4 linked regions of the Stegostoma tigrinum genome follow. The protein of the gene in region 1 interacts with the protein of each later gene in a pairwise test. Links are inferred from orthologs where the notes say so. Each region holds a gene or a part of one and is shown on either strand. Other genes may lie near its edges. The genes, in order: ndrg4, mal2, reep6 and agtrap.

The links.
Region 2: the proteins of ndrg4 (region 1) and mal2 interact in binary tests that used the Homo sapiens proteins (3 or more experiments, as listed by UniProt). The two-hybrid records come from large-scale screens. The link is inferred for Stegostoma tigrinum from reciprocal best matches to the Homo sapiens genes NDRG4 and MAL2.
Region 3: the proteins of ndrg4 (region 1) and reep6 interact in binary tests that used the Homo sapiens proteins (3 or more experiments, as listed by UniProt). The two-hybrid records come from large-scale screens. The link is inferred for Stegostoma tigrinum from reciprocal best matches to the Homo sapiens genes NDRG4 and REEP6.
Region 4: the proteins of ndrg4 (region 1) and agtrap interact in binary tests that used the Homo sapiens proteins (3 or more experiments, as listed by UniProt). The two-hybrid records come from large-scale screens. The link is inferred for Stegostoma tigrinum from reciprocal best matches to the Homo sapiens genes NDRG4 and AGTRAP.

What each region holds. Positions count from the first base shown.
Region 1 is NC_081369.1:10,586,700-10,593,890, forward strand, and holds the start of ndrg4 (protein NDRG4), read right to left. Parts: upstream 3,016-7,191; 5' UTR 3,015-3,015; coding exon 2,930-3,014; intron 1-2,929. UniProt on the Homo sapiens protein: Contributes to the maintenance of intracerebral BDNF levels within the normal range, which is necessary for the preservation of spatial learning and the resistance to neuronal cell death caused by ischemic stress.
Region 2 is NC_081358.1:12,535,141-12,542,343, reverse strand, and holds the start of mal2 (protein MAL2), read left to right. Parts: upstream 1-4,203; 5' UTR 4,204-4,300; coding exon 4,301-4,429; intron 4,430-4,523; coding exon 4,524-4,694; intron 4,695-7,203. UniProt on the Homo sapiens protein: Member of the machinery of polarized transport. Required for the indirect transcytotic route at the step of the egress of the transcytosing cargo from perinuclear endosomes in order for it to travel to the apical surface via a raft-dependent pathway.
Region 3 is NC_081383.1:11,413,492-11,420,483, reverse strand, and holds the start of reep6 (receptor expression-enhancing protein 6), read left to right. Parts: upstream 1-3,970; 5' UTR 3,971-4,124; coding exon 4,125-4,239; intron 4,240-6,992. UniProt on the Homo sapiens protein: Required for correct function and survival of retinal photoreceptors. Required for retinal development.
Region 4 is NC_081381.1:28,426,051-28,433,872, reverse strand, and holds the start of agtrap (type-1 angiotensin II receptor-associated protein), read left to right. Parts: upstream 1-4,814; 5' UTR 4,815-4,885; coding exon 4,886-4,912; intron 4,913-5,268; exon of another isoform or gene 5,269-5,369; coding exon 5,370-5,404; intron 5,405-7,822. Other genes in the region: draxina (draxin), read left to right, coding at 48-137, 1,406-1,518. UniProt on the Homo sapiens protein: Appears to be a negative regulator of type-1 angiotensin II receptor-mediated signaling by regulating receptor internalization as well as mechanism of receptor desensitization such as phosphorylation.

The sequences.
Region 1 (7,191 bases):
AGGATTCTCCATACTGAAGATCACTTGTAAGAACAGGAGAAAGCCATTCAGCCCTACTTGTTACTTCATATAATCCCCACAGTGGAAGTGAGCCATTCAGCTTGAGTCTATACCAACCCTCTGAAGAGCATCCCAAACAGTCCCACGCAATTTCTAACATGCATTTCCCATAATTAATCTACCTAGCCAGCACTTTGGATTATGGAAGAAATTGGCACACCTGGGGGAAACCCACACAGATGGAGGGCGGGGAATGTGCAAACTCTACATATATGGTCACCCAAGGCCAGAATTGAACCAAGGTCCCAGGCGCTGTGAAGCAACAGTGCTAGCCACTGAGCCACCATCCCACCCTATATTTTTCCCCTTTTTGCACAACAAAAAGTTATCAATCTCAGTTTTGAAATTTTCTAATTCCTGCTGTGGCTGTTTAGTGCCAATACATGTTAAATTAGGGGAGTTGTTGAACTGTGGGTTTTTATCCAGGAGGAACCAGTTTCAGGGCATTCACATTCATTTTAGGCAGCATGCTTACAGCTGTAAGAAGTCAATGCTACGCAACAAACAGGTCCAAAAAAGTTAACAATTGTAGGAAGTACAGACGTTTCAACATAATAGGAAGGTACTAACAAAAATATTATTTTATTTGTCCCACTGTCTGAGTTAAAATTGCATTCTTAATCCCATATTCTGAAGATCAATATATAAGCAGTGAATCTGTCTGTCCAATGATAGTCCAAAAACAGACTGCAGGTTCAGTCATAATCATATGAAAGCACATTACACACTGGGGCCTTGGTGTAGAATCATCAATATGCTCATGCATCAATCTCTAATATACTATTTCGGCATAGGACTTCAACAAATTCCCACCACCCCATAGCTGCAGGAAGAAATGATTCATGGTCTATAGTCATAATCTGTTAGCTACCAAATTTAATTCAGCCAGCTTGAACAGAAAGCTGAGACCTGGTAATCAAGCTTCCCTCTCAATTGCATTCGGAATTCACTCCAGGGACAGTCAGACAAAGGCAGGGATCCCTAACCTTAATTTAAAAGAAATGGTTGGTGTTCTATCTTACACCATATTCTGTACATAAAGTTTGTCAATACTCACATCAATACTTCTGTTAACACCATTGTAAGATAGCACTGATCTGAAAATAAAACAAACCCCAGGCAACAACTCATTGATTATATTCTTCAAAAGATACTAGGGAGATTGTCCAAAATAATAGTTTAACATCTGAACTTAGATGAGAAATGATAAAACCATTGGAGTTTTGCACTATAGCTTACCATTTCACTTGAACCCTGTTGAAGAGATTCCAAACCATAACCTATGACAAAGGATGCAAGAGTAGAAGCGGCAGAGAGTTAAATACTAAATAAAAACCAAAAGAACTGCAAATGCTATAAATCAGCGACAAAATAAAAATTGCAGGATAAGCTCAGGAGGTCTGGCAGTGTTTGTGGAGAGAAATCAGTTAACGTTTAGGGTCAAGTGATCTTTCCTCAGACCCCCGGTTATTCACTGTCCTATAAACCAGCCTTCCAAACCACAGCTTGATATCACCAAGCTAATACCCTGGATTGTTTGTTTGAGTGAAAAGTCTCGACATGTCATTCCAGGTGATGTCCTGCATTCAGGGTCTTGGTCTTCCAACTAAGTTTCACAACACTTTTTATTTGAAAAGCTGCGGTCTTGCTTATACACCAACAAGTTACTACACAGAAATTACACATGCAAACGGGCCATTCAGCTCAAACAGTCCATGTTGACATTTACCCACTCCTTCTGATGATCAAATAATTCCTCATCTAATGATTCAATCTACTGTCTTGAATTTTAATATAATTTCTTCCTCAGCCACTAACCTAGAAATGAATTCTACAGCCTCACACTGAAAATGTTAAGCTCTAGATCTCATATTTAATATTGTATTAAAGGCCTTTCATTCTTGACCCCACAATTAATGAAAACAGACTTCTGTAGCCTATGTTCAAAGCTCAACACTGAATTCAGTATTGTCTAACCCGCATTGTTAGAATGAGAAACGGAGCCATTTCTTATATATCCTCATAGCATTCTACAGTATCAACTTCATTCCCTGAAGTCGCAACATCCTTGCTATAGTGAGAAGTATAAAAACTCCGTATTCAGAGTTATTACTAAATTTTTAATTTTATTACCTCTTTTAACTCAAGATAAAACCTCCAATGCAATGAGCCTTTTCTCTCTTTTTACAGAAAGTCTTATCAACCCCAAGATCTGCCCTTAATATCTTCTTTCCTCATTTCCTATTCATCTTATTGCCGTACTCTGTTGAATGTTGCCAATGAAATACATTGCTAGTCAAGTTCTTTGCTTATCTATTTCCTCACTTTTCTAAATGGGTCTTTTGTCTTTCCAGAATGATCATTTGATCTTTAGATTCTCATGCTGCACAATCTCGCTGCCTGATTCACTCTGTTACTTTGCTGATTGGTAATGTTTCCTTCTGCTAGGTTTGTTACTGAGTTTATATCAATTCCTCCTTCCTCTCTGGCTGCATTCCATACTTCAGCATTTGTAATCAAATTGTGAAAGGAATCCTGCTCCATTTTCACTCCCACCTCTCTTTTCGAACTGTCAGTATCTCTCTCCAACCACAACTTGCACTTGACGTTAGGCACTCAATGGATCAGAGGTTCTGCATTCTCTCTTCTAAAGGATAAGTTACACACCGACGCCGTTCTCCCCACACCAAGAGTTATAAACTGACAACAGAGAGGTTTAACACTTTTTCAAAATAAGAAAGGGAAGTTAGAACACAAAAAAGTCATAACACTTTTTTTGTCTATTCGGCACTCATTCTGAACTCTAACCTTACTTCCCTAAAGATCTGGAAACAAAGAAAAGGATCAAAATTGTTTTATGATTGTCCACCTGACGCATTTCTGCCCGATCGGTTTTCGGTCGTATAGTGACAGCCAATATGTATGGAAGTGTCAACTACTGTATGCGTGTGCATACACCAGGGAAAGAGGAACAATACGGTGTTGCAGGAAGTGACATTAAATGCAAATATTTATGGTAATTATAACCTGTAATGGCAAGTGTCGAACCACATTTCATGAGCTGCATTGAAAGAAACAATCGTCCTGCACTTTGTCACGTCGAACTTGAACTATTTGTAATGAACGTTTACACCTTTCCCCCCCCCCCCCAAAATACGTACTTCATTAATAGAAAGAATCTTGTTCTCCTCCGCTATCCAGTTTATCCCCACTGGTTAAATGTCCAATACCCCTGTACGCAGAGACAAAGCTCTGCTAGTCACATCTTCTTATTGGACAGGGCCCCTCAACTGAAATTATACAGCCCTGACGTCTAAAGGAATACCTTTCCAAAAAAATCTTCTAAAAGCACACACACCGCCTCGAACTTAAATTCGATTTAGCTTTAGAAATCTAGCTCATAACGATGAATGAAGGTAGACTTTAGGACCAGGTGGACACCTCGAAACTGAAGCACTTCAAACACGAAGCTTACACCAATTGCTTAAAAGTGAGGTTATTGAATGCGAAAGTCTTCCTGCTACTGAACGCACCCGACATATTAAAAAAAAATACGGCAACAACGAGCAGCTTTCTTTAAATCAACTGATGCTGAGGTCAGTACATGATATCCTAACTCGACTGCAAATAGATACCTTAGTTTCGAAGGAATTTCCGCCCACTTCGGCCCACTTACCCGGTTTAAAATCCCGGCTCCAGGCGCCCTGCCGCACGTTGGAGATCGTACCCGGGCCACTGTGCTAACCGTTGTGGGGTTCACACAGTGAGGTTCTCGGTCACTTACTCGGGGTGAAAGACAGCTCTGCCTCAGTGACCACAGACTGAGAGAAGCAAGAAGACATCCACCCTCAGAGAATCACTGGCAAATATTCGTGATGTTCAGACTGCGTCTCCAATAGACATCCAGCGTTTCCACTTAACAGCAAAACATTCACAGCCACTCAATTCAGCAGTACTCAAATACACCAGTGACCCACAGCCATTCTGAAGAGTTGAATAAGCTGATGTGTTATCTATATTCAAAAATAAACGACAAAATAGATACAGGCAAATACGGAAACTTCATTAACTGGACGGGTTTCAAGTAAGATAAAATTGTGTTCTGCTTACGTCTCTCCCCAGGCCGCCATATATCGTGGCCTCTTTTAAAAAAACATATAAAGTAGTTGAACAAATTGAATCAATAAAATAATGAAATTTATATACTCATTTGCACATGTGATATTGTTAGTATGCACATTTAACAACTGTGGAGAAAGGAGAAGTATTGCCTGGGTCTAATATAGCCTTTTTAACATGGTAATGAAAACAATAATGAGAATTAAAATAGTTAGTCCTCAGGACATTACAGACTCCTGGGGCCATATTTTCAAAGGGCTTTGGAGGACTGAACTGATGTTTGCAAAATTTAAAAATTATGGTTACTATAGTTTGTCTCAAGATCACAATGCCTTTAGGAAAGTTTTGTACTTTTGACTGAGGCTGGGGAAGCCAGTACGGAATATGGTGGCAACCAATTAATAGCTGTTTAAACTCTTTTAAGTGGCCTGCTCAGTTTGGAGTAGAATTCTAAATGCTCAATTCAGCAAGTCAAAATATGATTTTCTCCCTGCCGTCATTACTAGTGTGTTTTTACTGCTCTTTCTGCTCTTTTAAAAGCTTGTTTCCTCTTTTACTGGATGTAGGAGGCTTTTGAGACTTGAGTGTTCTGGTGGGTTTTTTTTTAAGAGGAGTTTTCTGTTTAGAGATGTTTTCTTCACCTCGATGTTTAGCTTTGTGACATTTTTCTGGGTGCTGGGAGGTCTTAAAACTGTACTACTGGCTTTGTGAAAAAAATATTTTTCAAGTTCTCTTCATCAGGTGATTTCAAGTCTACTTCTTGATCTTCACAGCCACCAGTTATCTATGCAGTGGATCCTATAGCTGCCACCATGTTTTATCAAGTGGTTTGATGCCACACTGTTTGTGTGCTTTATAGTGTAGGTAAGAAGGCAAAGTCAAGAAAGGTTTGTAGGCTTAGAATTCAAAATAACACAATGTATAATATATTAATACTAAATACTGCCACGTTTGGTAACCATAGATGTACCACACTCTGACTTATTATGTTTGGACTAATCTCAAGATTCTCTAAATTTCTAGTGTGTACCGTTGTAGTCTTCTTCTAGAATGTTCTTACTTTGCCCATTCTGTGTTATTTACACTCAGTGATTGTCAGTTTTGGAATGTAATCAAAAGAATGCTCAGGGGTCCCGATGTCCTTGCACAACAGTTTAAAACTCTGAATTCACCTGGGTGATGTGTGCCAGACTGTGTATTGCAAATCAGCTCCTTATAGTCACATCAGGGAATTAAAAGGAAGAGGAAGAAATTGCCAAATGTAAAAATAGTCAAAAATGTTCAAACTTCACTAAGCTTAGAACTTGTGCCTTTGGATTGAAATATAATAGCTTCACTTGTAATTTAACAGTGGGAAACAGAAACTAGGCAGCAAAAAGTTTGTATATTAACATCAATTGTGGTGAAATTGCTGGAATATGTTATTTATTATCAGAGACAGTTTGGGCAAATGGTTTTCAAATAAGCAGTAGACATAAGAGATTTTGGAACAAAAACAAAGTTGCTGGAAAAGCTCAGCAGGTCTGGCAGCATCAGCGAAGGAAAAAACAGAGTTAACGTTTCAGGTCCGGTGACCTTCTGAAATTCTGAGGAAGGGTGACCGGACTTGAAGCATTACCTGTGTTTTATCCTTCACAGATTCTGCCAAACCTGCTGAGCTTTTCCAGCAACTTTGCTTTCGTTCCTGATTTACAGTATTCGCAGTTCTTTCGGTTTTTATAAGAGATTTTGGATTGGAGCAGTTCTCTTACAGAATGACATGATTCAGATGGAAAAGCTTATTTTCCAATAAGTTGAAGCAACATCAGAGAAGAGATTCTACTAAAGAAAAAGAAGCATTGCTGGTGTTAGTAGCTTTTCAACACTTTTTTTGCTTGACATAGAAACTGTGCAGTTTTAGTTTTTACAGATCATAATGCATTAACTTTTATTGAGAACTTTGAAACTAAAATTCTGAAACTGTTTAGATGGAGTTTAAGTTTTCCATTAAATACATTCTGCGCTCTCACTCTTGCCATTCACTATGGTACGGCTATCAGCTCTAGTGGAGGGGTATATGCTCCTGCACTCCGTCACCCTGGCCACTGGTTTTCAGGACTGAAGGCATGGTGAGTGGGAGACAGGAAATCTGATAAGTATTCCAGGTCCCCTTCCTCATAAGGAGACAAGGCAATGCCAGAAGTTGCCCCACTGGAGAAGGATTCATGCAGCATGATATGGCTGGATAAGCAGGGTAGAGGTAGAGTACCTAGCCTCTACTCGAGACACACCAGAGGTGACTGGTCACACTACCTCCTTGCCCCTCCCTGACCCTTGGAAGTTCACATCAAGTAGATCCTCAGCATGTTTGCTCCATCCTGACACAAGTGTCCTCATGGTCAGCCAATCAAACCTTATGGCATAAGACCCCACTGCTGAGCAGACTCCCTCCACCCCAGTTGCAAAACCCCGGTCTACGTTAAGATGTGGTAAGATCTGCATTAAGATGTAAGGGAGAGGAAGAAAAAAACTTATTGAGGGCACTTTGGTGACACAGGTGTCAACACAACGCATGTTAATTTGTACTTTTCTATAAATGGCACTGCTTTCGTCGTACATCTGTTTGATTGTCACTCGGTGTAGCCCCAGTTGTAAATGTTCCAGCATGAGGAATAATCCCTGACCAAAAAGGATGTACCATGAATTGATGTCTGTAGTGAAAATTAACTGCATCATCTGGAAGCAAGAGGAATAAAGCTGCTGCTGACATTTTTGGCCCTCGTTCTACAACATCCTTATTCTTTCCTGGCCACTGTGTCCAAAAGTATTGGTGTGAATGAGTTTGTCAGCGATGTATCGGGCATAACAAATTAGGGATTATACAATAGGATAGCCAGGGATTAGAGACCCTGCAGATCAGTGTCCGGTACAGTACACAGGTGTGTATGTGATGTTCTTTTCCTTTAAAGGTCCTCACATCGATGAGTCCTTCAGTCCCCTGATTCACAATTTGAGTCATTTACCTTCATTCTG
Region 2 (7,203 bases), on another chromosome or scaffold:
GAGAGACCTAACTGGACAGTTCAGACCAGAAGATCCTTGACTCAATGTTTATACATCTCCCAACATTGTTAGCCCTATCTAATTTGGATAGTCGCCACGTAGATGCGGAATGTCAGTAACTCGTTATCTACTTCAAACCCTTAACTACTACTCTTCTCACCAACCTTCCTGCAAGAATGTGATCCCTCACTCCCAACTCTGCTACCTCCGCTGCATCTACTCCTAATTTGGAGCATTCCACTCCTGGACATCCCAGATGTCCTCCTACTTCAAGGACTGTAACTTCCTGTTCCATTGATTGAAAATGCCCTCAACTGCATCTCTTGCGTTTTCCACACTTCTACGTTCAAACCCCCTCCTCCCAACAAAAATAAAAGCAGAGTCCCCCTTGTCCTCACATACCACCTCACCAACCTCCGCATCCAGTGCACAATCCTTCGCTATTTCCGCCACCTACAATCCAACCCCACCACCAAACAGATATTTCCTTCCCCACCCACTATCTGTCTTTCCTAGGGACCATTTAGTCCGCAACTCCCTTGTCCACTCACATTCTCTACCAGCCCCAATACACCCAGCATCTTTCCCTGCACCCAAAGGAGGTGCTACACCTGCCCCTACACCTCCCCCCTCACCTCCATCCAAGGCACAGGACAAACTTTCCTGTACATTCTTCAACCTGGTCTACTGTATCTGTTGCTCCCAATGTGGTCTCCTCTACATCAGTGAGACCAAATGTAGACTTGGTGACATATTTGCAGAGCACCTGCGTTCTGTAAGCTATAATCAACAACACCTTCTGGTCGCTAACCATTTAAACCAACCCTCCCATTCCCCGGGTGTCATGTCCATCCTGGACCTCCTCCAGTGCCACAATGACAACACCCACAAACTGCAGGAACACCTCATATTCCATCTCGGGAGCCTACTGCCGGATGGCCTAAACGTAGGATTCACCTATGTCAAAATCTCCCCACCCCCGGCCTCATCCCATGTCCAACCTTCCCTCTCATTCCTGCCTCCCTTACCTGACACAACCTGTCCATCTTCTTCCTATCTATCCGCCCCACCTTTCCCACTGACCAATCTCCACTACTCGCTACCCACATCCACTCACCTTCATCCCACCTAGCTTTTCCCACCTCACCCCTGTTCTCTATTTATTTTCCAGCTCCCTTTCCCCTCTCCAGTCTTACTGAAGGGTCTAGGCTCGAAAAATTGACTCTTCTGCTCCTCTGATTCTGCCTGATCCGCTGTGTTCCTCCAACTCCGCACTGTATCAATCTTCCCTGTAAACTGCTTATATCCATCTCATGACCTACCTTTCCACTTTTTTTTGACATTTGCAAGTTTGGCTACAGTGCATTCACTTCTTTCAATCAAACATGTTTTGTAAATTGTAAAGCCCCCAGCACTGATGCTCATTAAGAAGGATGGGAGGTGACATTATTGGGACGTGCAAAATTTTTAGGAGGCTTGTTAGGGCTAATGCAGAGAGCTTGTTTCCCTTGAGGGACAACCTGGGGCCAGTGAGAATAATCTTAGAGTAGCAAGTCCAGTTAGGATAGAAATGAGATGGAATTTCTTCTCTCAGCTGAGACTCAGCCCATGGAATTATTTATTGCATACGATGTATATTCAAGGCTCAGGTGATTTTAAATGAGAAGTTTTTGGGAAAGGCAAGAAAATGAAGTTGAAGACTACCAGATCAACCACAGCCTGATCGAATGGAAAGTGGATTTCATAAACTGAATACTCTACTTCTGCTCCTACTTTTAATAGTCTAAGAAAATGTTTGTTAAAAGAGTATTACAGTATCGTTAAACTTCAAAGCACTAAAAGCCTGGCCGGGTACTACCTGGATACCACAAACAACACCTGTTGCTCCGACAACAAATCTGGCTTTACCACTTAATCCTTAAGTCTCTAAACATTGTTCGTTTCTGATCCTACCAGATCCGGTTGAAATATGATTCGACGTTTAAAGACGTCATCAAGGCCACCCTCTCTGTATCTTTATCAGGCACAATGGGTGTGTTGATATTTTTCACGGAGGCATCGCTTTCGTTTCAGAAATCGTGTAATTTTTTTTTGCTCCTTGCTACGCCCAATCATTGCACCTGAATACTGTCCTACCCGTGACTACAGTGTTAAAGCATAAGTTGAGACCGATGGAGAAGCTAACTTCACTGTCTCCTACCAATTGTTATAAGCAATCTGCAGATGGGCTACTTAAAGCACAAAGAACAAGAGCTGCATTTGTTTGTTTTGGGTCAGTGCGGGGCGGGACCGTGCCGTTCCGGGAGGGGCGGGGCTGAGCCGGGCTATGATCAGAGATAATGGGAACTGCTGGAGAATCCAAGATAACAAAGTGTGAAGCTGGATGAACACAGCAGGCCAAGCAGCATCTCAGGAGCACAAAAGTTGACGTTTCGGGCCTAGACCCTTCATCAGAGAGGGGGATGGGGAGAGGGTTCTGGAATAAATAGGGAGAGAGGGGGAGGCGGACCGAAGATGGAGAGAAAAGAAGATAGGTGGAGAGGAGAGTATATGTGGGGAGGTAGGGAGGGGATAGGTCAGTCCGGGGAGGACGGACAGGTCAAGGAGGCGGGATGAGGTTAAAAGGCAGGAAATGGAGGTGCGGCTTGAGGTGGGAGGAGGAGATAGGTGAGAGGAAGAACAGGTTAGGGCGGCGGGGACGAGCTGGGCTGGTTTTAGGATGCAGTGGGGGAAGGGGAGATTTTGAAACTGGTGAAGTCCACATTGATACCATTGGGCTGCAGGGTTCCCAAGCGGAATATGAGTTGCTGTTCCTGCAACCTTCGGGTGGCATCATTGTGGCATTGCAGGAGGCCCATGATGGACATGTCTAAGGAATGGGAGGGGGTGTTAAAATGTTTTGCGACTGGGAGGTGCAGTTATTTATTGTGAACCGAGCGGAGGTGTTCTGCAAAGCGGTGCCCAAGCCTCCGCTTGGTTTCCCCAATGTAGAGGAAGCCACAATGGGTACGATGGATGCAGTTAATCCACTTCAACAACACCTTCCACACCAACCTCAAGTTCACCTGGGCCATCTCCAACACATCCCTCACCTTCCTGGACCTCTTTGTCTCCATCTCAGGCAACCACCTACAAACCGATCTCCATTTCAAGCCCACCGACTCCCACAGCTACCTAGAATACACCTCCTCCCACCCACCCTCCTGCAAAAATTCCATCCTCTCTTCCCAATTCCCTCGCCTCCGCCACATCTGCTCCCAGGATGAGGCATTCCACTCCCACACATCCCAGATGTCCGCGTTCTTCAAGGACCACAACTTCAACCCCGCAGTGGTCAAGCACACACTCGACCGTGTCTCCCGCATTTCCCGCAACACATCCCTCACACCCCGCCCATGCAATAACCACCCAAGAGAATCCCCCTCGTTCTCACACACCACCCCACCAACCTCCGGACACAACACATCATCCTCCAACACTTCCGTCATCTACAATCTGACCCCACCACCCAAGACATTTTTCTATCCCCACCCTTGTCTGCCATCCGGAGAGACCACTCTCTCTGTGACTCCCTTGTCCTCTCCACACTCCCCTCCAATGCCACCACACCCGGCACCAACCGCAGGAAGTGCTACACTTGCCTCACACCAGCCCAGCTCTTCCCCTCCACCCACTGCATCCCAAAACCAGTCCGACCTGTCTCTGCCTCCCTAACCTGTTCTTCCTCTCACCCATCCCTTCCTCCCACCTCAAGCTGCACCTCTATCTCCTATCTACTAACCTCATCCCACCTCCTTGATCTGTCCGTCTTCCCTGGACTGACCTATCCCCTCCCTACCTCCCCACCTATACTCTCTCCACCTATCTTCTTTACTCTCCATCTTCGGTCCGCCTCCCCCTCTCTCCCTATTTATTCCAGTTCCCTCTCCCCATCCCCCTCTCTGATGAAAGGTCTAGGCCCGAAACGTCAGCTTTTGTGCTCCTGAGATGCGGCTTGGCCTGCTGTGTCCATCCAGCCTCACATTTTATTGTCTCTGAGCGGGGCTGGGCCGTGTGGGGCAGGACTGAGCCGAGTGGGGCTGTGCCGGGCGGGGCAGGACTGAGCCGGGCGGGGCTGTGCCGTGCGGGGCGGGACTGAGCCGGGTGGGGCTGTGCCGGGCGGGGCAGGACTGAGCCGGGCGGGGCTGTGCCGTGCGGGGCGGGGCTCGCACTCCCGGCTCAGTTACACCTGTCTGGATTCGGTGTCGCACGGCTCAGCCGCCGGTTCCCTGGCTCCCTGCGGGCGGTCTCACCCACCACCATGTCGGCTCCTGCTACCAATCCCAGCCTGAACTCTAACGCCATGGCTTTCCCAGCTCCTCGGATAACCCTACCTCTGGGGATCTCGGTTCTGCAGACTTACTCCGGGGCTTTCATTTGTTTAGAGATTGTGAGTTAGCACTTGTTCCCAGGTCTGCAACTTAGGGGCTGGTCACTGACGCCGAAACTGCCTGCTAACATTGGTCTTTCTGTTTTGCCCAAAGCTGTTCGGAGGTTTGGTGTGGATTTTGGTCGCTTCGTCCAACGTGCCTGTGCCCCTGATGCAAGGCTGGGTGATGTTCGTGGCTGTCACTATGTTCCTGTGTTCCACGCTGTACCTGTGCGTGTACCTCTGCGGCCTGGCTGACCGACTGGATACGGACTGGAATCTGGTTGTGAGTAAATGTCCCTGTCACCGATTTATCCCAATACCTCGTCAAAGTCGTCCGCCCCGGGCATCATCAGTGAAGGTGTAGCCCGGAGCTGACTGGTACAAAAAAATCCCTGTGTTGGGGTCGGGGGGCGGGGGGGGGGAGACATGTAGCTATTCGGTAACGTCTTAAAAACCTCGCAGCTTCGAAGGGAAAGCTACCTGTTGTTTTTCCACCTTTTTGTTTTCCCCTACAATTTGTAGAGCAGTCTGTCGGTGTGCAGTGGTATTGCAGGCACCCGGAGCATCTCCTCACCGATTTTGCTCAGATTTCTAACTGCCAGTTTCAGAGTCTGAACTAAAAATAACATTGGGACTCTGTAACGACGCTGACTATCGATTTTTTAGACTTTTTTGCTTCGGGTCTAATCCTTCCTTGTTAGAGGAGGTGGTGCAGCGCGGAAATGGAGGCCACGGAACAGGCTTTTTGTCTTCCCACATGAAGCTGCCTTCTCTGATTTGCAGGAGAGAAATCTGATCCTTCCTGTTGCCCTCCCTGTTACTGAGGACAATTTTATGCCTCAGTAGTTACCCTGGCTGGAATACCTGAGACTGATTTTCTCAGCACCATAACCTGCACTGCTGGTAGGTGGAAGAGACGTTCATGAGGAGTATCAATGCTAGTTGGAATGGTGATAGAACTCTGCACTGGTGATATAAATCTGATGCACATTAGTCAGCCAGCCAGTTGTTGACATGCAGGTACAGTATTTGTGCACTTCCAAAACACAAATTCAAAGAACTGTGGTCTTATCCATAGCCTCCCAGCATGAAACTTCTACTTGCTATAAACTTGCACTCATCTAAAACAACATTGCTCATTCTAACTCACAGCAATTTTCATTGCTCTGCAGGGATATGTTAGCACAGTGGCCGTCTTGTTAGAGGAGCAAAATACTGCAGATGCTGGAATCTGTACTGAGAACAACAAATGCTGGAGATCACAGCAGGTCAGACAGCATCTATGGAGAGAGCAAGCTAATGTTTCAAGCCGAGGTGATCTTAGTCCGCTCTGAGTCATCGAGACTCAACAATAGCTTGTTCTCTCCCCGTGGATGCCATCTGATCTGCTGTGATCTGTAGCATTTGTTTGTTTTCAGGCCCTTTTATTGGACTAGCAGTCCGAAGGTGTGGATTAGTGACCTGGAGTGAGTTCAGATTTCATTATAGCAGCTGTGGAGATATAAATTCAGTTAATTAAGTAAATCTAAGTAACTAATTAAGTAACTGCTACTTTTCACTGAATTGCTATGGAGATAACAAGGTGTAAAGCTGGATGAACACAACAGGCCAAGCAGCATCAGAGGAGCAGGAAGGTTGACATTTCGGGCCAAGACCCTTCTCAACGGAAAGCAGAAAATGCTGGAGAAATATCCTGGCAGCATCTGTACAAAGGAAGTAGAGGATTTCTGATGCAGGGTCTAGGCCGGAAACATCAACCTTCCTGCTGTTCTGATGCCGCTTGACCTGCTGTGTTCACCCAGCTTTACACCTTGTTATCTCAGATTCTCCAGCATCTGCAGTTCCTACTATCTCTGCTATGGTGATATACACTTTTATGTGCATATCATAGGCAAGAACTTTGAATTCTGATGATAAAGACTTCAGTTTTCTTTTACACTAGGTGCTCAGAAATCTGGCCTAGTTTTAGCACCTGCATTACTGTGTTGAAAAGATTTACAAGTTCATGTTCAATCTGTTTGATTGTATTATGAAAATCCCTTCCTTGGCTGTTGAGTTCTAGAGTGAAACTTGAACCCACAGCCACTGTTCCTGATGTTTCTAACTGTATAAAAGGACATCCCTTGTGTTTTTAATGTACTTAAGCTAGATCCTTTGCATAAGTGTCAAGCTAAAACAATAACGTTACGTGGTATTCAAACATTTGATGTTTTATGTAAATTCTCGAAGAGGCCATGTGGGTTAGACATATGTTGCCAGTGCAGATGCGAAAGGTTAATACCGTAGTAGGAGGTAAGCAAGGTTCTTGAAGGGTTGTAAAACTAGGAGTGATAGAAGTGAAAGACCAGGAGCCAGTACAGATGGTCAGAGATGACTTTTCTATTTTGTGTAATGTAGGTGTTCCTGTGAGATTATCATTTATTGCCTGTCCCTAATTATCTTTGAGATTATTGTTATGGCTTGCCAGACCGTTTCTGCAGCTATTTAAGTGTCTGGTGGCATAATTGTTTGGAGGCACATTTTTACCAAGACAGTTATGGAAGGCAAACTTCCTTCTCTAAACATTAGTGTGTAAGATGTGTTTTATGACATTCTACTACTTGAGGTCACTGTTTCTGAGATTTCAGTTAAGTAAATCTAGAATAAAATGGACTTTTATTCCCTACCTTCCCCGGTTTTTCCAGCTGCTGTAAAGAGATTTGAACTGACTCCAATCACTAATCCAGGCCTTTGAATTGCTAGTTCAGTATAGTCAGTGTGGACTCAGTGGCCCAAATGGCTTGCTTCCACAC
Region 3 (6,992 bases), on another chromosome or scaffold:
TCTTGCATTGTGAAAAAATAGTTTGTGGGCTTCATCCCAAATTTTGGCCATGATGTCACAATTTTATGTTATCAACAGATATGGAGCAATCAGAGATAGCACCCACTGATTTACAGCAAATGATAAACTGTGTGGGCGGAGGAAGAGTTGAACCTGTCATCATAAAACTGTAAAGTGGATATATATCTGCTGAAAAAGCTAGGGATGAAATTGAAAGAAATGTTAACTTAATAGATTTGTCTCTAAAATATGTCAAACAAATACACAATTTACTAAATTAATAGGTTTGAAAACAGAAAGTGCTGAATCCACTCAGCAGATCAGAAAGTATCTGAACAAAAAGGAATAGCTAATATTTTAGGGTTTTTCATCAAAGGGGATACAAATGTTGAATTACTGTTAAATATATGAGAAGGGATAATGATTAAACTTTGTAATTCTCTAATTAGACCACACTTTGCATCCTGTAAGTAACCTGGCCACTTAGAAATAAAGAAAAATCAGAAGTACAGGGGAATAAAAATGAACGGAAGTATCATGTCTCTCAGATTGGAAAATAATTTATGATTCCATTTGAAAGCAGGTAAAGAAGGCCCTTATTGCAAGCCATCACTACACAGAGTTAATGTTGTTACGCAGCAGTTTTTGAGACATCACCTTGCCTTACTAATACTCTATAAATAAATAACAGAGAAACAGTAATTATTAAGAACTTGCATCTCATTGGAGATGCTTTAGGCCAGTCCACATCCATTAGCCAGCTATGAAAACGGTGCTCATTTTTTAAAGCTATGACAAATTCCAAGGCAGCATCTGATATATTCTGCAGCATTCTAAAAGAATAATGTTTTAAATCAAACAGCCCTCACCAGGGACAAAAAGAAGGCCAAGATAACTAACTTTGCCGAATAAATTCCCAAAAACCAAACATTGATTCCTGTTACTATACCACATATAATGCAGTCCCAAAACATTTTAATTGTGAAAGTACAAATTAGATTCATTAGTAGTTACAAGTTGCAGAAATTTAAGTTTTACAGATTTTACATTGAAGGAATTTGTTGTATTGTTTTCCTTTTCAACTTTTACTTCAGATTATAACCATGTGCTCATTTTATGCCCTGGGTGTGGCTCCCATGTTAACTATTTTTGCATAGAAGTCACTGTAAAAGATGATGGAAAGAGGAAAGTGCATGGAATAACAACATTGACATATTCATTTGTTTTTGCCCAAATCTCTTTTAGCTCTTGCAGGTGTTTTAGTTATAATTATTTAGCTCATATTACAACAAACCAAGAAATTTATTATTTACTTTGAAACAGCAATTTACTGTTTTATGTTGTGTGACCCATTTTTCTAAGCACAACTTGTCTTCTATTAAAATGCAGCATAAAATCTACTGATAAGATTGCTTTTTTTGTTTAGATTTTAAGTGTATTTGTAGCATTTTCTGTGCTCTGTCTATTTGTGTTTTGTTAGCACCAATAAATGAGGGAAATATTTAATTATAATTATGATCAGAAGCAACAGTAATTTGAATACTAGCTTTCAAAGATCATGAACAGTCTTTTTGCAAATTACTCAACTGATTTAGACTCTTAAAAGTAGTTTACAATGCTCAGAAAACAACTTGAACATTTGAAAATTATACAATTAGAAGAAAATAATCAAACGTTTTAATTCTAAACCAAAAACAGGAAATATTGAAAACACAAACAAGACACCTGTGGAGAGAAAGGCTGGGCATTGGATTAGTTTTGGCTATTTGTCATAATGAGCTGAATAGACACTTTCACTAAAACAGCTACCAACTATGTTGCCTGCAAATGCTGGTAGTCATCCTGACTTTCTAGCCATTTGCATATATAAGTAGACTATGCATCATATTTACAACACACAAATACACCATTTGGTTCAGCTTGTCCATACCAGATTTTACACTCTGCACAAACCACCTCCACCCTTCTTCATCAAGTCCCATACTCTTCTATAACCTTTTCGCTCATGTGCTTAACTTGATTCACTGTAAATGTTCCACAGTACAGAATTGCAAACTTTACATCCTTGTTCACAAAAGTGTGTAAGGTTAAGATAGCAACTATGGATCATTCACTTTAAGGTTGTTGGCGGGAAAAGATTTAGAATCAATAATTCAAGACCCAATTAACAGTCTCTTTGAGAAATACAAAGTTGATTAAGAAACCGACATAGAATTATGAAGGGGAGATTAAGGCCATTAACTAGCTTAAGTTTTTGATGAACCAACAGAGAGAGTTGATGAAGGTACAAGTTATGGTGAAGTTCTAAAATACACTAGTTCAGCCTCAACTGAAGAATTGTATCCATGTCTGGATAGTACATTCTAGGAAAACATGAAAGCATTTTAAAGAGTGCAAAAAGTATTTACAAAATTAATTTCAAGTTTGCACAATTTTAGCTACCATAGCAATTTGAGAGGAGTTTTGATAGATTATGTTCAAAATAATTAAGTTTCTGCACAAAATGTAAAGTCCCTATAGTTGGGACAGTTAAAACCCAGAAAACATTAATTTAAGATGACTTGGAAAAGAACCAAAGGCAACATGAGAAAAATCTTTTTTATGTATTTATTGTTTATGATCTGGAACCTGCTCTGCCTCTGATAGAAGCACATTCGGCCATGGTTTTCCAAAGTGAGTTGAATCATTAATTATGTAAGGAAAAAGGTTTTCGTGGAGGTGGGAGAAAGCAAATGCCGATGAAATGTTCTAGCTGAAGTAGCATAGACACGACAGACTAAATGGCTTCATTCAATAACCATGTTATGCTTCTAGATGGTTCACCTCTCCTTGTGTTGGTGAGTTTCACAATCTGCCTTTGCGAAACAAAGTTTCTCTTGAATTGAAAAAGATTTTTAAATTAGTTATCTTATACATTTGGTCATAAAGTATTGGCCTCCCAACAACAATAAATGGTCTTACTACATCTACCTTAGGACTTCCAAACCTTTTCCCAATGATGCCATTTCAAGACTTGAAAATTGTCATGAACAAAACAGAAGGTGCTAAAAAAAAGCTCAGCAGGTTTTGCAATACCTGTGATTAAAAAAAAAATCAGAGTTAACATTTTGGGTCATTGACCCTCCATCAGAAGCATTGAAAATTGTCATGACTCCTCAAGGAAAACTGAGAAGTTGGGGTTGGTGGTGGTTGGAAAGACCTATGAGAACAGGAGGCAAGAGCAAAGACCTATGAAAACGAGAGGAAAGGAGCAGTGACAATGGGAACTGCAGACGCTGGAGAATCCAAGATAACAAAGTATGGAGCTGGATGAACACAGCAGGGTGCTTTGTGGTGATCATTACTGCCTGAAAAGCTTGCAACCCCAAAATTTCAGCAGGCAACTCTGCTAGAGTCACGAACCCCCACTTTGAGAAGCCTTGACCTACTCTAGTGAAGCAAGTTGTAGCATCAAATACGTCTAGTCGGTCTTCTACTTTTTCAGAATAAAACGTTCAATTTTTTTTCTGATATTGATGAACTCCGAATTCAGGTTTAACTCCAGTAAAGAGATAGTAGGAACTGCCGATGCTGCAGAATCTGAGATAACAAGGTGTAGAGCTGGATGAACACAGCAGGCCAAGCAGCTTCGGAGGAGCAAAAGGTTCCAGACCCGAAACTTCAGCTTTCCGGCTCCTCTGATGCTGCTTGGCTTGCTGTGTTCATCCAGCTCGACGCCTTGTTATCCCTTAACTCTAGTAAATCTGTTCTTGCATCTATAGTATTCTTGTGCCTCTATACAATTTTATAACACGGTGACCAGGACTGTAAATTGTACTCCAAAACATGGTCCCTTCTGGACTTGCCTGTCTATCATTTCTTTTTAAATCGCTATACAAAGTCAAATTGACAAACAAAGATCTGGGTATGAGTATCAACCGTGGTTCCAATTGGGCAACTGGTGTGCCAATCACAAAATGATGCCGGAAACGTAGCTCCAACAAACGGATCGCGTCGTCGTTAAGCGGATTGGCAGAAAGGTTTGAGAGTCAGCAAAGTGGAAGATTAGTGGGATAGCTGCAATAAACGGAACGCGTTGGGAGTTAGTAGTGTCTTCTGTTACCTTTAGTAGTATTTATTGCAAAATGCCGTCCTTGCGAGAGCGCTTTGAGAATTTCCTGAACGAGAAGAACTTCATCACCAACTTATTGGGGAAGATTGAAGAGAAGACCGGGGTGCGTAAATACAATCTAGCCACAGGTAGGTCACAGAGACTTGTTAGCACCCAATTGTAATATGTTGTTGAATGTCAACTTGCGCTGGCTTCGACTGCGATTTGATTTCGCTTGTAAAAAGAAAGAACTGAGGACGCTGGAAATCAGAAATTAGTGGAGAGCAGTCAGGCTTAACGTTTCGGGTTGAACGACCCTTCAGAACGCGTGTCACCCGTCTGCTACATGTTGCCAAAAGCTGTGGTTACGTTTTTGGGGAAGTCAAGACCCTTCAAGACACGAATCGGTGATATTGATAGTGGAAATTGTAAGGGTCACTTAAATACTTGTCTTTTTTTTGCAATCATGAGCTGTAACGATTTAAATTGCATTGTTAGTGCGTGGTTTTGGAGCTGAGAGGCATGTGGTTTGTGTCAAAGGACAACATTTAAAATTCCAAGATTTATATGATATTCTAAGCATATGCTGACTGAATTGGTACTCTTTATATATTAACAAGTTGGTTAGAAACTTGGTCTGTTTTAGTAAGAAGGAGGAACCACAATTGAAACAGTTTTCACTTAATTGTGGTAGATATAGGAAATCTGTGAATTTGGTTAAGCTGTTATTTTTGAAGGAGTAGCATTGTATGTTTCGTGCAGATTAGAATGCTGGGAGGTTATGTTGTGGGAATGTCACTGGATTATTAATCCAGATCCAAGCTAATCCTCTGGTGACATAAATTCAAATCAGATTCAATTAGTAAAAGCTGGAATTGAAAACTGGCCTCAATAATGTTGACCGCAGAACTGTCATCAATTGTTGTAAAAATAAACTCGTAGTTCAGAGTTCACTGCTTATGCATGTGACTCGTGACAGGAACGTGGTTGATTCTGAAATACTGTAACCCAAAAAGCCATTCAGTTCAAAGGCAATTGGGATGGGCAACATACTTTAACTTTTGCCAGTGAAACACGTGTGAAAGAATAAATTTAAAATTAATTTTATTATTGAAGCAGTGCCAAAAGAAAACTCCAGCACCAGAACTCATAAATTAAATATATTGGGGGAAAATTCAGCAAGGGGATTTCCTTTTTCCTCGAGAAAAGAGAAAATGGAGGGGTGACCTGGTTAAACCTGTGGTGTAGGACATCAATAAATTTGTTTGGCATTCCTTGTCGAGAGTGTTCAGAAATTGAAATCCAATAGTGCAAGTAATTGGGTGAATAGCATAGATGCCCTCTAAGAAGAAACTGAATGGACGTGCATGCAAAAAAAGGTTAAACTATTAGAACTGAATTTAATGAAAACTGAAGGAGGTTGGTGTGATGCACAAGCACTGTGAGCCAGTTGGGTCAATGACCTGTTTTCTTCTGTTCCGCACTATTGCGTGTACTATTTTGCGTCCAAATTCAGTTCTGATCCAACATTCAGCAAGTATCCCAGCAATATGCAAAATATTTTAAAGACAAGATGTTACCTAAATATGCCACTTCTTTTAATCTTCTGTTCAAATCCTATGCTATTTCAGGTCTATGTGTACCTTCAAGAAGCTCCTTTTTGAAACTTATTTCCTTAATTACATATTTTATTTGTCAATCTGAAAAGTTTTCAATTCAAGTTCTGAAGTATGGGCTTCTTAACACCAATACCAAAAGGTACATGTTGAAAGTAACAATCCTTTTTGTGTATTGAAATGTAAAAAAATTTCACATATTTTAGACTTCCACAAATGTGCCAGCTTTTTTGATACTAACTGTGTGTCTACAGAAATTTTAGTTTTCTCATTTATGCAATTGTTTATTTGCACATGGTGGAAATACCTTCGTGTTTTCAAATATCTTTTGGACTTGGGCAGGATAAAGAATGCAAAGGAATACATGAAGAGTAGAACAACCCTAGGAATTGCTGAGGATCAGAGGACTTTGGTGTGCATGTCCACCTATCCCTTCAAGCCATAGGACAAGTCGATAAAGTGGTTAAGAAGGCACGTGGATATTTGTCTCTAGCTAAGGCATTAGAAGGGAGTTTATGTAGGAATTGTATTTAAAAAGTTGGTCAGCCAACAGCTAGAGTATTGTGTGCATTCTGGAATCCACACTTTAGGAGGAATATATCATTGGAGAAGATGCAAACATAATTAATCAGGATTTTTTTTAAAAAAACAACAGCAAAAGAATGGTGGAAATCAGAAACGGGAACAGTCTGCTGGAAAAGCTCAAATCTGGCAGCATCTGTGGACCTAACATCTTCAGGTCCAGTGACCCTTCTTCAGATCAGTTCTTCCATGTTACAGAATATTTGAACTCTGTGACTAAAACATTAATGTGGTAATTCCCCAAAATGATTTCCTTAACTCCACTTACTACTTATGCAGTTAACTCCAGATAAACCACAATCCATTGCCGGATCATCCCTGTTTGGATAATGGCTCAGCAACTTGCTGGACATGGAACTGAATAACTGAAAAGAATAAATGCAAAAATACTGAAGTTGCTGGAAATCTGAAACAGGAATGGAGCACTGGGGAAACACACAAGGACAGGCAGCATCGGTAGAGAGAAAAGAGTTGGTGTTTCAAGTCCAGTGACCCTTCATCAAAACAGAAATAGACAGAATAGTCAGTAACCGTGCTGATAACATTCATGGGGTTGAGTATGTGATCTGTTATAATATGTACACACCATGTAACTAAGAAGAGCAAAATGTAATGGAAGTTCATAACTTGTAACTTGTATTGCCAGTCAACCTTGATGTTAAATTCCTCTCTTTAAATTAATCTTTGTAAGACTTAACAGTAAA
Region 4 (7,822 bases), on another chromosome or scaffold:
TAAATGACACCTGAACTTACTGTGATATCCGTGTTTGTTTTCCACAGGTTGGTGTTGTGACCTCCGGCAGCACATCTGCAAAGCCCACAACCGCGGCCTCAATAACAAGTGCTATGATGATTGTATGTGTGCAGAAGGTGGGTGCAAGCTTTGGCTCAAGATTAGCCAAAGTCTCTGAGGTTTGAGCGCTAGCTATCAACATAAAAAGTTTAATCTTCCCTCTCACTCCCTACCGGGTTACCAATGATGTGCATCAAAGTCAGATTTGGTCCTGAAATTGAGGGTTCGCCACTTCAAAGGTACCCTCGCTCAAATCTTGGGGTGCTGTCAGGATTGTTGGAGGCATGTGTTGGTCCTCGAACAAGCTACTCTTAACAAAACAAAAATGAAGAATTGCGGGTGCTGGAAATCAAAAACAAAAAAAAACACTAATTACTAGAAAAGCTCAGCAGATCTGGCAGCAACTGTGGAGACAAAGCAGAGTTAACGTTTCATTGAAGTAAACATTAAAGCTACGTCCACTGTTAGGTTGTGTTTTGACTCTGCATTACACACTGAAAGTGTGAATTATTAATATCAGAATGGTAGATGGAAAAAGAAGCTCAGTCTTGTTAGAAGTGATAATGTGCAGGTGCTGGTGTTGCACTGGGGTGGACAAGGTCAGAAATCAGACAATATGAAGTTTTAGTCTAGCAGGTTTATTTGAAATCACAAGCTTTCAGAGTATAACCTTTTTTGTCAGGTGAAGTGAGAGGGAAGCACACAGAGACAGAATTTGTAGGCAGAGAGATCAAGGGCAGAGAAATCAAAAGATCATACAAATGGTGAGAGTGGAGTGTCAAATAATAAGTCTCTGCAGGTGAGCAAAAGTATCAGATGTGAGTACAGCATCAACAACTGAATAACAAACCAAGGGATTACCTATAATCTGATTAAATGAGGCTCAGAAATAATTACAAAAACATTAAAAGTAAGGTGGTGCTGGAGACAAACCAAATGACTGGAATAACATGACATCATCTTATTTTTAATTTTTTGTAATTATCCCTCTGCCTCATTTAATCAGATTATAAACCATCCCTTCACTTGTTATTCAGCTGCCAACACTTTACTTATACGATCTGACACTTCGGATCACCCATGGAGACTTATTATTCAACACTCCACTTCACACCAGTTGTATGATCTTTACATCTCACTGCCTATAAATTCTGTGACTGTGTACTTCTTTCTTATTTCGCTGATGAAGGGGCTATACTCTGAAAGCTTATGATTTCAAGTAAACCTATTGGACTATAACCTGGTATCATCTGATTCCTGACCGTGTTAGAAGTGAAGTTGGCAATTGAGCCAGGCCCTGTCAGATGAGTGCTCAAGACTGAACCCACTCTTCTGTCTTTATCAGGTCTTCGCTGTTATGCCAAGTTCCATCGGAATCGGAGAGTGACCCGCAGGCGAGGACGATGTGTGGAACCAGAATCTGTTGACATCAATCATGGATCATTTATTACGGTCTGAGCAGACATCATAAGGAATCCAGCTGTTTTGACCCACACAACGAGTCAATCCTCATCCAATAACAACAGTGAAAATCTTGATGGCTCCAAGAATGCCTGTGACTGCCCTGATAGGCGATGCCACATCTGGGGCAGTCTGGAATAAGATTCTTGCAATCACCCAGTCATGTCTGTTGAAAATATCCCTATTTACGCCCTACATTCCAAAACTATAATCCAACAAATCCCAACAATACCCAGAATCCACTACTCAACTATGATAATGGAATCCCCAATGGTTTATATTGTCCCATTCAACTCATTTCTTATTTGAAATGATCCTGCTGCTCGTACCCACACGAAAATTGTATTTGTAATACCGTACTTTCATAAACAGTTTTGAATGTTATTTAGCAAAATGGTAACTAACACAATATTTAGCAATAATACCTTGTATACAAGAGTTTCTTGTTATCTTTGAATTCCTCCTTATATCTTTTTATTTTCTAGGAATCTCCCTACAGTTCTCTCCCAACAGCTTTACTTGAGACAACCTCCCATCAGGTATCACCCTTCTGTTAAAACGTTGTCACCATTGATCATTCATGAATGATCATTCTCTTGAAATCAGATGTCCCAACATGTTTTCAGCTTTAAACTTATTGATATTACTACAAACCTGCAATATTTCACCAACTTTTAAAAATAAATATAATTTAAACTCACAATAAAACCAGACTCTTTAAAACACAATTTAGGCTCCTGCACAGCCTAAAGCCGTGATCAATTACTGTATAATAATTGAATTGTTTATAGTTAATCAATCTGAAATTTTTCATTTGATGTTTACTGAGCTACATCTCTAGGTGCTGGTACCAGCCTGTACCTTGCCCAAGTGACTGTTACCAAGTATGAGTCTAAACATTGAATATTCGTAAATTATTTGTGGACTGTTTGAATGTGAAGGGCAACAAAGACTCTGTACTTTTCTCACCTGATAACTGGGCATATATCCAGGAGTGTCCCAGATAATAATAAGAATCAGAAAAGCTGGTTGATGTTATACAGATATGTCGAAGCTTTATCATAACATCCACCGAATAGATGACCCTTGTTTTCAAAGGACTACTGTCATTTCAACTTAATATAACTTATAATTAATTACCTTTTCCAACAATGTTCTCCAAGTAGTTTTCAACCCTTGTTATAACTTGTGTTGTAAGAGGTGAAGATGGAACAAGGAATAGAAAGTACTGAAAACACTGAGCTGGTCCGTCTTCATCTGTGATAAGAACAGAGATTCGTTGTTTTGAGTAAAGGTATTTCAGATGCACAACAGTGTCTGTAATATTTTACTTCTTGTACAATGTTAAAACACAGCCTTTCTATGACTCAGGTATAGATGGGCATAGGTGCAGTTCTTGTGTTTTTGTATTAGGACAGTCCAATTTAGATATTGCAGTAAGGGTCAGGGTTGTGATGTGAGAATCTCTACTTTGAATAACTGTAAAACTGAGAGAATATTTAACTTTTTTTATAGATATATTGTCACATTATTATAGTTAGTCACTGTGACAACCATCTGGCTTGAACACATATTGCTGTTTTTCATCATTGTTGGGTCAAAATCTTGGAAGTCTGTACCTAACAACATTGTGTAAATATTTTCATACACAGATAGTAATGATTCAGGAAGGCAAATTACCATCACCATCGAAAGGGCATTTAGTGATGGGCTATAAATGCAGATCTTGCCAGCAATGCTGTATCTCAAAAAGAAATGTAAAGTCTTTGCAGACTGTATGTCATATTGTTATAGTTGCATTGTCTGTTATAGTTACACTTCGTGTTGTCCTGCATGTGAATTTATAGCAATGGAATGCATGACGAAAGAATGATTATGTATCAGATTTTGCACTTTTGTTTTCTATTTAATTTTAATATTAGCCTACATGAAACAAACAAAATCTGACAACCAATTAAAAACTTTGAAATGGAACATACTGACTAAGTTCATCTCACATCTTGGTGCACACCTGATTATTTCAGTCTCATTGTAATTTTAATTGTAGAGAAAATGAACTTCAGAATCGCTTCTGTCAAATGTTCATTTGTTTGTATCCAACAGTTAGATTGAGATGTGTTCTTTATTATTGGATCAAAATGTAGAACTCCCAGCACGTTGGGAGAACCTTCACAACATGAATTGTAATGGTTTAAGAATAAGGTCTAGTGCCATCACACCAAGGGAAATAGGTAGTACAAGCTGGTCTTGAGAGTTACCCCGCCCCCTTTACCTATCTCCTCCCTACCTCCTGCATTCTCTCTTACTGGCTCCATCCCCGCCTCTTTGACTTGTGTGTCTTTTCCACCGATCTTCTCTATCCATCTTCGATCCGCCTCCTCTCTCTCCCTATTTATTTCAGAACCCCCCGCCTTCTGAAGAAACGTCTCGGTCCGAAACGTCAACTTTTCTGCTCCTCTCATGCTCTTTGGCCTTCATCCAGCTCTACACCTTGTTATCTCGGATTCTCCAGCACCTGCAGTTCCCATTATCTCTACCACTGAGACACAGCTGATGCACCAAAGTCAAGATAGTTTTGGCTTTGTTTTTTACTGTCAGTATTTTTTGTCTCGCACCTGATACTTTACATATTTTAAAAGGTACAGTGTATTAGAAAATCTATCCCTAACTGATTTGACGTAAGCAAGTGGCAGTGGTGTATTAGTTTGGCATTTGAGGGATGTGCAAGCCCACCATAAATATTTGATTATTACGATTTTAATGAATGTCCACAGTGTTGGTCGTTGGTCTGGGGGTGTGATCTGCTGCAGCAGGTCCGACACCCGATAGAGACCAACTCCGTGTGGACAAGTGCCAGAAACCACAGCAAAATGCGAAATGTCACAACTCCCGCACTCCTGTCAGCGTTAACATATTCATTTTGTTCAAAAGCCTCCCCTGTCAACAACGCTCCCATACCCTAAATAACCAATTCTGAAACAAAAGTTTCATTTGGCAGCATCGATGTATGTCGATTTAAAGTTATTTTAGCTAATGTAAAATTAACGGGTTTTTTTCGTTCTGGGGATAATGACGATTCAAGTGACTCGGCAGAAATATAATGTTAGCGCATCAGAGGCCCACTGACTGTGAACTATGTCCACGATTAATTTTAAGACTCTCTTATGACGTTAAGCAGCTGATTCTCAGAGAGCAATGAGTCAGTGTCATTGATCGGTTTTGCCACCTTCTTCAATTGTGGGGTTTGAGGCGGGAGGAACCCAACAAACATCAGCACCCTGAGGGTTTCCTCATCCAGCCCGGGTCACATGATGCAGGGTCACATGGGTCGCCTCGAAGTTTGTTACTTCATGAAGTTTCAGCGATGGAACTGCCGGTGGTTAGCCTGAAGGTAAAGTTTGTGGAATGGAAATGTGAGGGTCAAGAAATCGAACTCCGGCTGCCCGCTAAGAACAGGGTTATCGATCGGGATCTTAAAGAAACAGTCTGGCTTTAGGAACAGCCCGAAGTTTAAATTATTGGTGTTGTGCGGAGCTGAGCATAACTTTTGTCCCTTCATCCCCTTTTCTCCCTCTCCCGTTGTTCCCTTGCCTTACCTTCCCCTAGCTCCTACTGCCTGCTTTCCCCCTTCACTAGTGAGCTGCAGACTGATATCTAGTCGACGGGCTATAGGGAGTGGTTTTGTCAAATGACAGAAATTCTGAGTCAGTTTCAGGCTATAATCTCGGGTGTTCTGTGATTCTCTAGGAATGATGTTGTGGGAGAACGACAGACTCTAGTTCAGTCTGTCTATAGAATTGTAGTGTTTGTTTGTTCTTTCGGATTGACCTGGGTTCGTGTTTCTACAGATGATCATCGTTGTGCACTGGCTCCTGACAACTTGGTGAGTGATGCATTAATTAACAAGCATCTGTTAACTGGATTTGTATTCCTGTCCACATGGTGAAAATATGTGGTAATATCAAACGCTCATTGATTTTTTTTCTTAGCCCTTTTTTGTTGTAGAAAAAGTATTGCATCCTGCTTGAGGATTAATTGAAAGTAAATTGCCATTGAGACAAAGGAAATTATATAAAGGTTGACTAAAGAATTGGCCAAAGAGATGGAGTTTAAGGAAGGCTTTGAAGGGGCAGCAAAGATTCTAGAACACAAACCTCAGAAGAACAATATTCAGTAATTGACAGAAAGTGACCATATTGTAAATTATTGTCCAGGATATATGTTCCAGAGGTTAGACAACAGCTAATAGTCATTGGAGCAAATATTTAAGGGGAGCTGGTTAGGAAGGGGCAGTGCTGTCTGGAGTTTGTATTGAACAATGAAATGCAGATAGGGTGGCACGGTGGCTCAGTGGTAAGCACTGCAGCCTCACAGCACCAGGGACCCGGGTTCAATTCCAGTCTCGGGCGACTGCCTGTGTGGAGTTTGCACATTCTCCCCGTGTCTGTGTGGGTTTCCTCCGGGTGCTCCGGTTTCCTCCCACAGTCCAAAGATGTGCAGGTTAGGTGGATTGGCCATGCTAAATTGCCCATAGTGTTCAGGGTTGTGTAGGTTGTAGGGGGATGGATCTGGGTGGGATGCTTCAAGGGGCGGTGTGGACTTGTTGGGCCGAAGGGCCTGTTTCCACACTGTAGGGAATCTAATCTAGGAATCGAATCTAATCAATTTATGGAAAACTGAGTCCTGCTTCGGTAATTGGATGATTGACAGTATGTGGCGGTGGTAGTGAAAGAGAATGTTTCACAACACTAGTTATTTAGACAGTGTTTGGAAGGTGTGGGTGGAAGTTGTAGACATGGAAGAAACATAGAAACAAGACGAGGGTATTCGGTCCTTCAAGCCTGCTCCACCATTCTTCATGATCATGGTTGATTATCCAACTCAATAGCCTATTCCTGCTTTCTTCCTCATAATCGATCATTCACCCCCAAGTGCTATATCTAGCCACCACTTGAATACATTTACTGTTTTGACATCAACAAATTTCTGTGCTAATAAATTCCATAAGTTCACTACTCTTTTGGGAAAATAAATGTCTCCTCATCTCTGACCTAAATGGTCCATTTTGATTCTCAGACTGTGATCCCTGCTTTTGGACACACTCACCATTGGGAACATGCTCCCTGCATCTATCCTATCTAGTCCTATTAGAATTTTCTAAGTCTTTGAGATCCCCTCCTCATTTGTCTGAACTCCAGCAAAGACAATTCTAACCTAGTCAATCTCTCCTCATATGTGAGTTTCATCATCCCCAGAATCAGCCTAGTAAGCCTTCATTGCACTCCTTTTGAGAGCGAGAGCAAGAGCATCCTTCTGCAGAAAAGGAGACCAAAACTGCACACAATATGCTATGTATGGCCTCACCAAGGCCCTGTATAATGGCAGCAACACATCCCTGCTCCTGGACTCAAAACCTTTCGCAATGAAGGCGCACACACTATTTGCCTTCTTGACCGCCTGCTGCACTTGCGTGCTTAATATCAGTGACTGGTGCACAATGACATCCAAGTCCCACTGCACACTCCCTTCTCCCAATTTACAGCCATTCACGTCATAATGTGCTGATAACAAAGTGTGAAGCCGGATGAACACAGCAGGCCAAGCAGCATCTCAGGAGCACAAAAGCTGACGTTTCGGGCCTAGACCCTTCATCAGAGAGGGGGATGGGGAGAGGGTTCTGGAATAAATAGGGAGAGGGGGGGAGGCGGACCGAAGATGGAGAGAGAAAAGAAGATAGGTGGAGAGGAGAGTATAGGTGGGGAGGTAGGGAGTGGATAGGTCAGTCCAGGGAGGACGGACAGGTCAAGGAGGCGGGATGATGTTAGTAGGTAGGAAATGGAGGTGCGGCTTGAGGTGGGAGGAGGGGATAGGTGAGGAAGAACAGGTTAGGGAGGCGGGGACAAGCTGGGCTGGTTTTGGGATGCAGTGGGGGGAGGGGACGAGATGGGCTGGTTTTGGGATGCAGTGGGGGAAGGGGAGATCACATTGATACCATTGGGCTGCAGGGTTGCTAAGTGGAATATGAGTTGCTGTTCCTGCAACCTTCGGGTGGCATTATTGTGGCAGTGCAGGAGGCCCATGATGGACATGTCGTCTGAGGAATGGGAGGGGGAGTTAAAATGGTTTGCGACTGGAGGGTGCAGTTGTTTATTGCAAACCGAGCGTAGGTGTTCTGCAAAGTGTTCCCCAAGCCTCCGCTTGGTTTTGCCAATGTAGAGGAAGCCACACCGTGTACAGTGGATACAGTGTACCACATTGGCAGATGTGCAGGTGAACATCTGCTTAATATGGAAAATCATCT